2 linked regions of the Sus scrofa genome follow. The protein of the gene in region 2 interacts with the protein of the main gene of each other region in a biochemical or structural test. Links are inferred from orthologs where the notes say so. Each region holds a gene or a part of one and is shown on either strand. Other genes may lie near its edges. The genes, in order: DMC1 and RAD51AP1.

Region 1 (4,471 bases), about 56 Mb from region 2:
GGCCTTGTCACTTCAGCAGCTTGGGTCAATGCTGTGTGATGGATTTGATGCCTGCCCTAGGAACTCCCACATGCTGAGGGTGTGGTCAAAAAAAGGTAACATCCGAGAAGTTTTTCTGTCAACTGATTGCTACTGAAATTCATCAAGTTTTTTACTTAAAGTCTGAATTTCTTTTATCTAATCACATGACAGAAGGTGAATTTTTTGTTGATGGAAACAGTTGATAGCTCTGAACACCTCCAAGTGGACCACTAGTTCTCAACGGGGGACAATTTTGTTCCCTGGGGACATGACAATGTTTGGAGAATTTTTGGGTTGTCACAACTATGAGGCTGCTACTAGCATATCATGAGTGGTTAGGAGCCAGAGTGCTAAACACCCTACAATGCACAAGGCAGCCCCCCCACAACAAAGAACTGTCAAGTCCCAAATGCCAATAGAGTCAAGGCTGAGAAACCCTAAAATGGACAATTTCACACAGCACTGAAGAAATACTTACAATCCCATGTTTTTGTAACAGGTCGATGTCTTGAAACAAAGATTCCTAACGAAGATGGAACAGGGAAAAAAAAAAAGTTTTTATTCTTCATATTCAACCGTTTCACAAATATTTTTAAGAGTTAATTCAGAATTATGAGTCACTCCAAGATGCTTCAAATTCCACTTCTCTAGACAGACTGAGGTAGGCTCAATAATGATTTTTCAAACACATTGTTGCATACATAGAAGTGCTAACACTGAAAGCACTGGGAAGCTCAATACTTTTATTATGCCCTCTCCAAATTTTTAAGACCTTAACCCAAAAGAGTGGAACAACATTTAATCTATTTTAAAATATGTTTTCTCAGTCTTCCCCACCAGACCTTGAACTCCTTCTACTCCTCACTACCAGTTTGCATAGGAACCAGTATGGCCATACCAATTGCTAAATTATTAAAATACTTTCACACCAGCTGCTAAGTAGCTAATCTTAGCACCCCTTGCCAAACAAGTTGTTACATATTTGTAATATTGCCTCTCTCCAGAACTATGTTTTATTGCTAATCTGTTTCTAAAAATAGTAGTTAACAGAGAAGGAACTTCATTTTTGTAGAATGACTAAATGTCTACATGTCTTTCAACATTCTAGCCATACTTCTTCATCTTGGAATCCTGGTTCTTCCAGCACAACTTGATCCTCCTTCATACTGAAAGGAGAACAGCAAAAAAATAATCAATTTTGGGAAAATAAAAAAATATTAAGAAGTAGTCATAGTACAAAACCCTTTGCCCATAGACTTTCTTGATTTCAATTCAGTTATTAAGGACCAGAAGGACAAATAGAAAAACATTTAGTTTGAAATGACTGGCTAGCCTATATCCTTTCTGCTAGGCATCTGGTATTATTTCTTTTAATGGGTGTGCATATGTGAGGGTGGAGGGACATTGTTTCTCTCCTCTTTCCTCAAAATTGGCCACTTTGTATCATCTTTTGATTTCCCACAGCACAATTATAACTGATAATATCTCTTTGTTGTCTTGGAATGTTATTGGCAGTAGAAATATTAGAATTAGAATATTAGAACTCCGTATTTTTATTCTTTCATGTTCATGTTAACAACACTCTAAGAACTTTAGCCTGGATCTCCTGTTGTGGCTCGGTGGGTGAAAAAACCAACTAGTAGCCATAAGGATTTGGGTTCGATCCCCGGCCTTGCCCAGTGGGTTAAAGATCCAATGTTGCTACGAGGTAGGTCTCAGACATGGCTAGGATCTGGCATTGCTGTGGTTGTGGCATAGGCTGGCAGCTGTAGCTCCAATTTGACCTTTAGCCTGGGCACTTATCTATGCCACAGGTTTGGCCCTAAAAAGAAAACAAACAAACAAACAAAAAAAAAACCTTTGGCCTTAAGTCAGTCTTCCTATATCTTCCCCGGCACCTAGAACTTAGTCTCTCTTCAACAGATAGATATTTTTTCATCTCTTCCTGCTTGAGAATTATGAATGAGCTCTCTTGCAACATGTGTATTTTTCTTTCATAAAACAATGGATGTATTTTGTTCTATAGTATTTACTACTTTCATGATTTTTGTAAAGATTTAAATTATGGTGAATACTCAGTATCATAATATGATAAAATATTAGGGCCAATAAGCAGATGAACAATCTTTGAGTTAACACTGGAGCAGCGGTTTTAAGATCTCAGGAATCTAAAAAGCATGATCCTGTTTATTAGAAAACGTAGTCCAAGTAATCACTTTTCTTGGTCTATTCCATTTTCTCACAAAACGCGGAAGTCAGGGGTTGGGGCCCAGCAGAAGGGGAACAAATTACTAAGGTTGAGGTATGGTCGTTACCACCTAGTACCTCTGAACAGCAAAGTATTCGAGGCAAAAGAGGAGACGGTGTAAATGGAATTTTCTGGAATACGGCCCCTCACTCAGATTGCTTATATATATGTATATATATGATTGCCCCCAAATTCCACATTGACTGTCCTTTCTTTAGCCTTGAAAAAAGCTGCTCTTCATCTTTCTCAAATAGCAATGGACGTTGAGAGCAGTTGGATCTAGAGTAGGGCTCCCAGTCGCCTCGGCTTCGGGCGTGGAAGCGCGGTCCAGGTCGCCTCCCCTGCCGCCACCCGTTTTTCCAACACCTAACTCCCTCATAAGGAGTCTGAGGAGGCCCCTCCCCAACTTAGGTCCTACTTGGTTTAAAATAAGGATGCTGGTAATCACTCAAGGGCACTGAGATATACCCCCAGGGGTGGGGGCGGGACGCACAAAGTGGAGCCTCCAACCACCACCAAGCATGACTAAAGAAGGGACCCCCTGAGTTTCCCCTCAGATTCTTCACCCACCTTCCCCTTTTGCCACAAACCCGACTCGTACCCACAATCTCCCTTTTCAAGGTGAATGAATCCCTTCCGCCCCCGTCCCGGGCCTTCCAGTCCTCAGGGATTCTGACTCCGAAGCAGAACGCGGCGCCTCGCAGCCCCGTTGACCAAGAGGTTCGGTGCCCAACGACTAGTTTGGGCGCGCGCCTGGCGTGGGCGGGGCCAGGACGGAGGGGCGGGGATCTGGGCGGGGCAGAGGACGGGGGGCGGGGCGGCAGGAGCGTCCGGGGGAGGCGAAGGTACTGGGAGCGGCGAACGGACTCTCCGGGGCGTGTCGCGCGCTGGGATGAGGAAGGGGGCGCTGAGGGGGAGAGTGTGTGCTGAGGAGAGGGGCTTTGGTGGGAAGGGAGGCTGGGGCGTCTCCAGAGCGGAGGGAGATGCTGAGGTCAAGAGAGGACTCTGAGGTGGGGGCACCCAGGACATGGGTCAAAATTGGGGGCTCCTGAGGTGGACGCTGAGGTGAAGACAGGATCCTCTGAGAAAGGAGGCCCTTGGGTGGCGCGTGTTCTGAGATGAAGAGAGGCCGCTGGAAAGGGGGCAAGAGGTGGACGACCGTGAGGCGGGGGAGGGGTGCTGAGGGGAGGTGGCTGATGTGGTGACTCATGACGTGCAGAATGCTTACCTTAATCCAGATCCTCCGTTAGGAGCCGAATATGGGGGTCTTTTCCCCCTGCTTAAGGCTTTTCTTTTCATTCCAAGTTTTTCATGTCTGCCTTCATAGTTTGTTCCTAATATCTCAGCGTTCCTAATTTCTCTCCCTTCTCCGTGACTCTCTTACCGTTTGCCATTCTCTAGTCTGTGAGTGAGACACCCAAAGCCCATTCAGGACGGAGAGTAATTTTTCTTCCTTTTAACTTGAAATTTTAAATAGACAACAGAAGCCAAACATATTTTGGTCCAGCTTTTAAATAGAAATTTTAGGCCAGCCTTCATGCCAGCAGAGCCGTCTCTGGCAGCATCAACCCTCCTCCCCTTAAATGGAGACTGACTGTTGAAGAGAGTCATGAAACATTTGAAAGAGCATCTGTTGAGGTGGAGGCTGTGATGTATCTTGGATGACTATCTGTGCAAACAGTTCTTTGGGTTCAAGACCTAGTACAGGGTGACCCTTTTCATTCAGTGTCTGAATCATATTTTGCTGGAATAAATAGCCAAAAATTCCCACAATAGCAGTTGGCATTTTGTAGGACATTTCCTCTGCCCCCCACGTGGATTGTTTAAAGACCCAACAAATAACTGCCATAGTTCTTCAAAATCTGTTATTTTCCAGAAACACAGCCTGGTCTTGCTTAAATAGAAATTAATGTCAATTTTTGAGATGAACTGTATAGTCGATGGTAGGCTTTCACTTTGGGCCTCACCTAAAATAATTATAGTAACTTCTGAGCAACTTGTTAGATGGAGACATCAACTGTACGGAAGAGCTGCAAAGAGCACAACAAGATGATTTAGGGAAATATAACATATGTAGTTTGGTGTAGTGACAGCTGGGAGAGAGAAATGTTCATAATATTTGAAGGTTGTGTGCAGTACACTTAAAGAAACTGAAATGAGCTTGGTAATGACAAACTCATGAAGTAAGGATAAAAATCTTGT
Region 2 (3,817 bases):
GTCATGGAAAAGACGAGAAGTAAACTTGTGAGACCGTGACGAGTGAAGAAAGACACCCCAGAGGGAGGAAGAACGCATAGTGCCAAAGGCACAGAAAGTGCATCGATTCCACTGCAGAGGGTTCATGTGGCTGGACAAGGGGAAATGGTCAAGGACTAGTTAGCAGGGGATGCAAGGAGCAGGCCTGGGGTAGGGTTTTAGGGAAGGCAAGACGGGAGAAGGATTAGCGAGACCTGGCTGTGGAGCAAAAGAAAACAGAGAGAAGCCAAATGTGTAAGAGCTGAAGGTCAAGTTTGCCACATGCAGGGATTCCCAAGGATTCTGTCAGACTTTGGAAGTCAGTGGGTCTTGGGCAAAGAGATTTCTTGACAAAAATATATAACAGGACTCATCCTCTTCTTTTTAGGGCCACACCTATGGCGTATGGAAATTCCTGGGGTTGAATCAGAGCTGCAGCTGAGGCCTACACCACAGCCATGGCAACGTGGGATCCATGGAGCTGCATCTGTGACCTTCACCACAGCTTGCAGCAATTCCGGATCCTTAACTGACACCCTCACAGAGACAATGTTGGGTCCTTAACCTGCTGAGCTACAATGGGAACTCCTATAACAGGAGCCGTAAACACTGGTACTCATTCACTATAATTCTACTTCTAGGAATTTATCGTAGGAAAATAAGGGATGTGCCCACAGAGGTCTAAAATAAGGACGTTGGAGTTCCTGTCATGGCGAAACGGAAACAAATCCAACTAGGAACCATGAGGTTGCGAGTTTGATCCCTGGCCTCGCCCAGTGGGTTAAGGATCCAGCATTGCCATGATCTGTGGTGTAGGTTGCAGATGCAGCTCAGATCCAGCGTTGCTGTGGCTCTGGTGTAGGCTGGTAGCTGTGGCTGCGATTAGACCCCTAGCCTGGGAACCTCCATATGCTGTGGGTACAGCACTAAAAAGACAACAAAAATAAATAAATAAAATAAAAATAAGGATGTTTGTGCTTACTGTAACTTTATTTATAACAACGAAAAAATAACCTGGATGTTCAAATATGAGGGAATAATAAGTGATGAATGAATACAGCAACTAAGAACCTTGGTTTGAAGACTACATAATAATATGAGGAAATGCTCATATGTGACATTTACAACTAGGAAAAAAAATCCTACCAGTTTTTGAAGCCCCTGCCCTTGAGCAATCAATAAATACACCGTACCTGGTGGGACCCACTTAGGTCTCCTGCTTTCAGCCGAAGGACTGCATATTTGTAATGGCTTCTCAGTGGCCTCTGAAGAAACAGAAACCTTTTTTGGCAAGGGCTGAGATTCTGACTTGACGGCAGATGGAGCAGAGTGTACTGAAGTCACTTATTTGAAAAATACACATAGAAAAAGTGTTAGAGAGGAAAGATAAAGTTTAGGATGTTGTGTGAAAATTATAAAATGACAGAATCTTATACAAACAAAAAAGTATCATAAATGTGAAAAATCAATTATAATTATCATTAATCATCAAACATTTATTGAGAACCTAAGAACAGCCCTTTTTTATGAGCACTTCTATGCTAGGAAGTATGCTAAGCACATCATAAACATTACCTTTAACCTTAGAGCAACCACGATACAGAAATTACCATCTCTACTGTCAGTTAAGGAAACACAGAGGTTAAATAATCTGCCTGTAGTTAATAGCTAGGAAGTGTCCAAGCCGGGACTGGAAACCAGGTCTGACTCTGAGTCCACACTTGTAACTGTTACACAATAGTGTCTCACTCTAGGTTAGAGTATCCTGCTCCCAAGGAACTCATGGTCCAGTCACTAGACTCTAGTAGTAGAAAGGGCACAGAAGTGAAGTGTACAGTGCAATGTGGTAAGAGAGATGAGACTTTAGACGTGGGCTCAGGAGCTGTATGCGTAGAAGCATCTTGCCGATGGTGGGGTAAAGCACACCACCTGGATGGCTTTATGGCTATCCCGGTGAGAAGAGGAAAGGGCCTGCGCTAAGAGGAAGGAAAACCAGCAGATTGGACATCTCTTAGTAATCAGAGGGGAGGGCAGTGCTGGAGGGGAGGAAATAACCAGGACTTGCAAGTTCCTGCCGCTGGAACACTGCTTGATGGCGCCATCTACCCAGAGAATGAACACAGAATGGGAGTAGGTTTGAGTTTTCTGGTTTTTTGCTTGTTTTTGATGGAGGGAGGTAGGGAGGTAGGAAAAAAAATCACTTTTAGTTAATGCTTGCTTTGAGATACCTAAGGAGCATCTTATTTACCTGAAGGCCTATTATACCTAAGGGCATTATCCATAGGCATGTGAATTTTCACTGCATACCCGTCTTTTTTTTTTTTGTCTTTTTGTCTTTTCTAGGGCTGCTCCTGCGGCATTTGGAGGTTACCAGGCTAGGGGTCTAATTGGAGCTGTAGCCGCCGGCCTACGCCACAGCCACAGCAACTTGAGATCTGAGCCTCGTCTGCAACCAACACCACAGCTCACGGCAATGCCGGATCCTTAACCCACTGAGCAATGCCAGGGATCGAACACGCAACCTCATGGTTCCTAGTCGGATTTGTTAACCACTGCGCCACGACTGGAACTCCTGTATACCCGTCTTAATGTTAGTAACTACACCCCCTGATCAGCACCATCCGTCCAACAGGCTTTTCTGCAATGATGGGAAGACTCTGTATTTCGTGCTGTCCAATGTGGAGGCCACCTGCCACATATAGTTAGTGAGCACCTGAAACGTGGCTAGTAAAACCAAGGAACTGGCTTTTAAATTTTATTTTTAATTAACTTAAATGTGATAAAGTTACTTGTGGCTGGTGGCCACCATAATGGACACCACAGCTCTTGAAATTTCCTCTATCAAGGAAAAAATTATAACATGTACCAGATTGAAGACACTCAAAGGTTACTCAATATGTTATTACTGGGACTAGAAATATAATCCATCTTTCCGAATTCTTAATTTCATTATTTGGCTGTTAAATTTTACTTCTAATATCACATGGTAAACTTTCTTGTGAAGCAACTTGCTCCAGGATAAAGAAATATTTAAGTGGTAAATGGCAACTTGGAAAGCGAATTTATTTTTAGCTTTTAGAGTGTCTTGGTGAGAAGGCATAAACAAAAATCTAAAGAAAACATAAAATATATTCATGTTAGGTTTTTTCATATCGTCAATGACCTTCTCCTATCAGTCTATATAGGCGGCTCCTTAAAGATATTTATCTCCTAACTCCCCAGAACGTGTGCACATGTTATCTTATACAGCAAAGGGACTTAAGTGGGATTACATTAAGAGACTCGAGGAGTTCCCGTCGTGGCTCAGTGGTTGACATATCCGACTAGGAACCATGAGGTTGTAGGTTCGATCCCTGGCCTTGCTCAGTGGATTGGGGATCCGGTGTTGCAGTGAGCTGTGGTGTAGGGTGCAGACGAGGCTCGGATCCTGAGTTGCTGTGGCTGTGGCGTAGGCTGACGGCTGCAGCTCCGATTCGACCCCTAGCCTGGGAACCTCCATATGCCGTGGGAGCGGCCCAAGAAATGGCAAAAAGACAAAGAAAAAAGGCGGGGGGGAGACTCGAGATGGGGAAGTAACCTGAATTGTGCGAAGGGCCCAGTGTACTCACACGGGTCCTTGTAAGTGAAAGTGAGAAGCAGAGAACAAGAGTGATGTGATGGCTTTGAAGAGGGAAGTGGGCCACCAGTCAAGGCAAGCAGGCAGCCTCAAGGCTAGAAAGGGGATTCTCCCCTCAAGCCTCCACAAAGGAACACAGTTCTGCCAATGCTTGATTTTAGCCCAGTGAGAGGCATTTTGAAT

What was found.
Region 1: the proteins of RAD51AP1 (region 2) and DMC1 form a complex in vitro, tested with the Homo sapiens proteins (2 studies listed by BioGRID and IntAct). The link is inferred for Sus scrofa from reciprocal best matches to the Homo sapiens genes RAD51AP1 and DMC1.

Annotation. Positions count from the first base shown.
Region 1 is NC_010447.5:9,429,774-9,434,244, reverse strand, and holds the start of DMC1 (meiotic recombination protein DMC1/LIM15 homolog), read right to left. Parts: upstream 3,010-4,471; 5' UTR 2,871-3,009; intron 1,188-2,870; 5' UTR 1,187-1,187; coding exon 1,136-1,186; intron 545-1,135; coding exon 500-544; intron 1-499. UniProt on the Homo sapiens protein: Participates in meiotic recombination, specifically in homologous strand assimilation, which is required for the resolution of meiotic double-strand breaks.
Region 2 is NC_010447.5:65,876,459-65,880,275, forward strand, and holds part of RAD51AP1 (RAD51-associated protein 1), read right to left. Parts: intron 1,362-3,817; coding exon 1,212-1,361; intron 1-1,211. UniProt on the Homo sapiens protein: Structure-specific DNA-binding protein involved in DNA repair by promoting RAD51-mediated homologous recombination.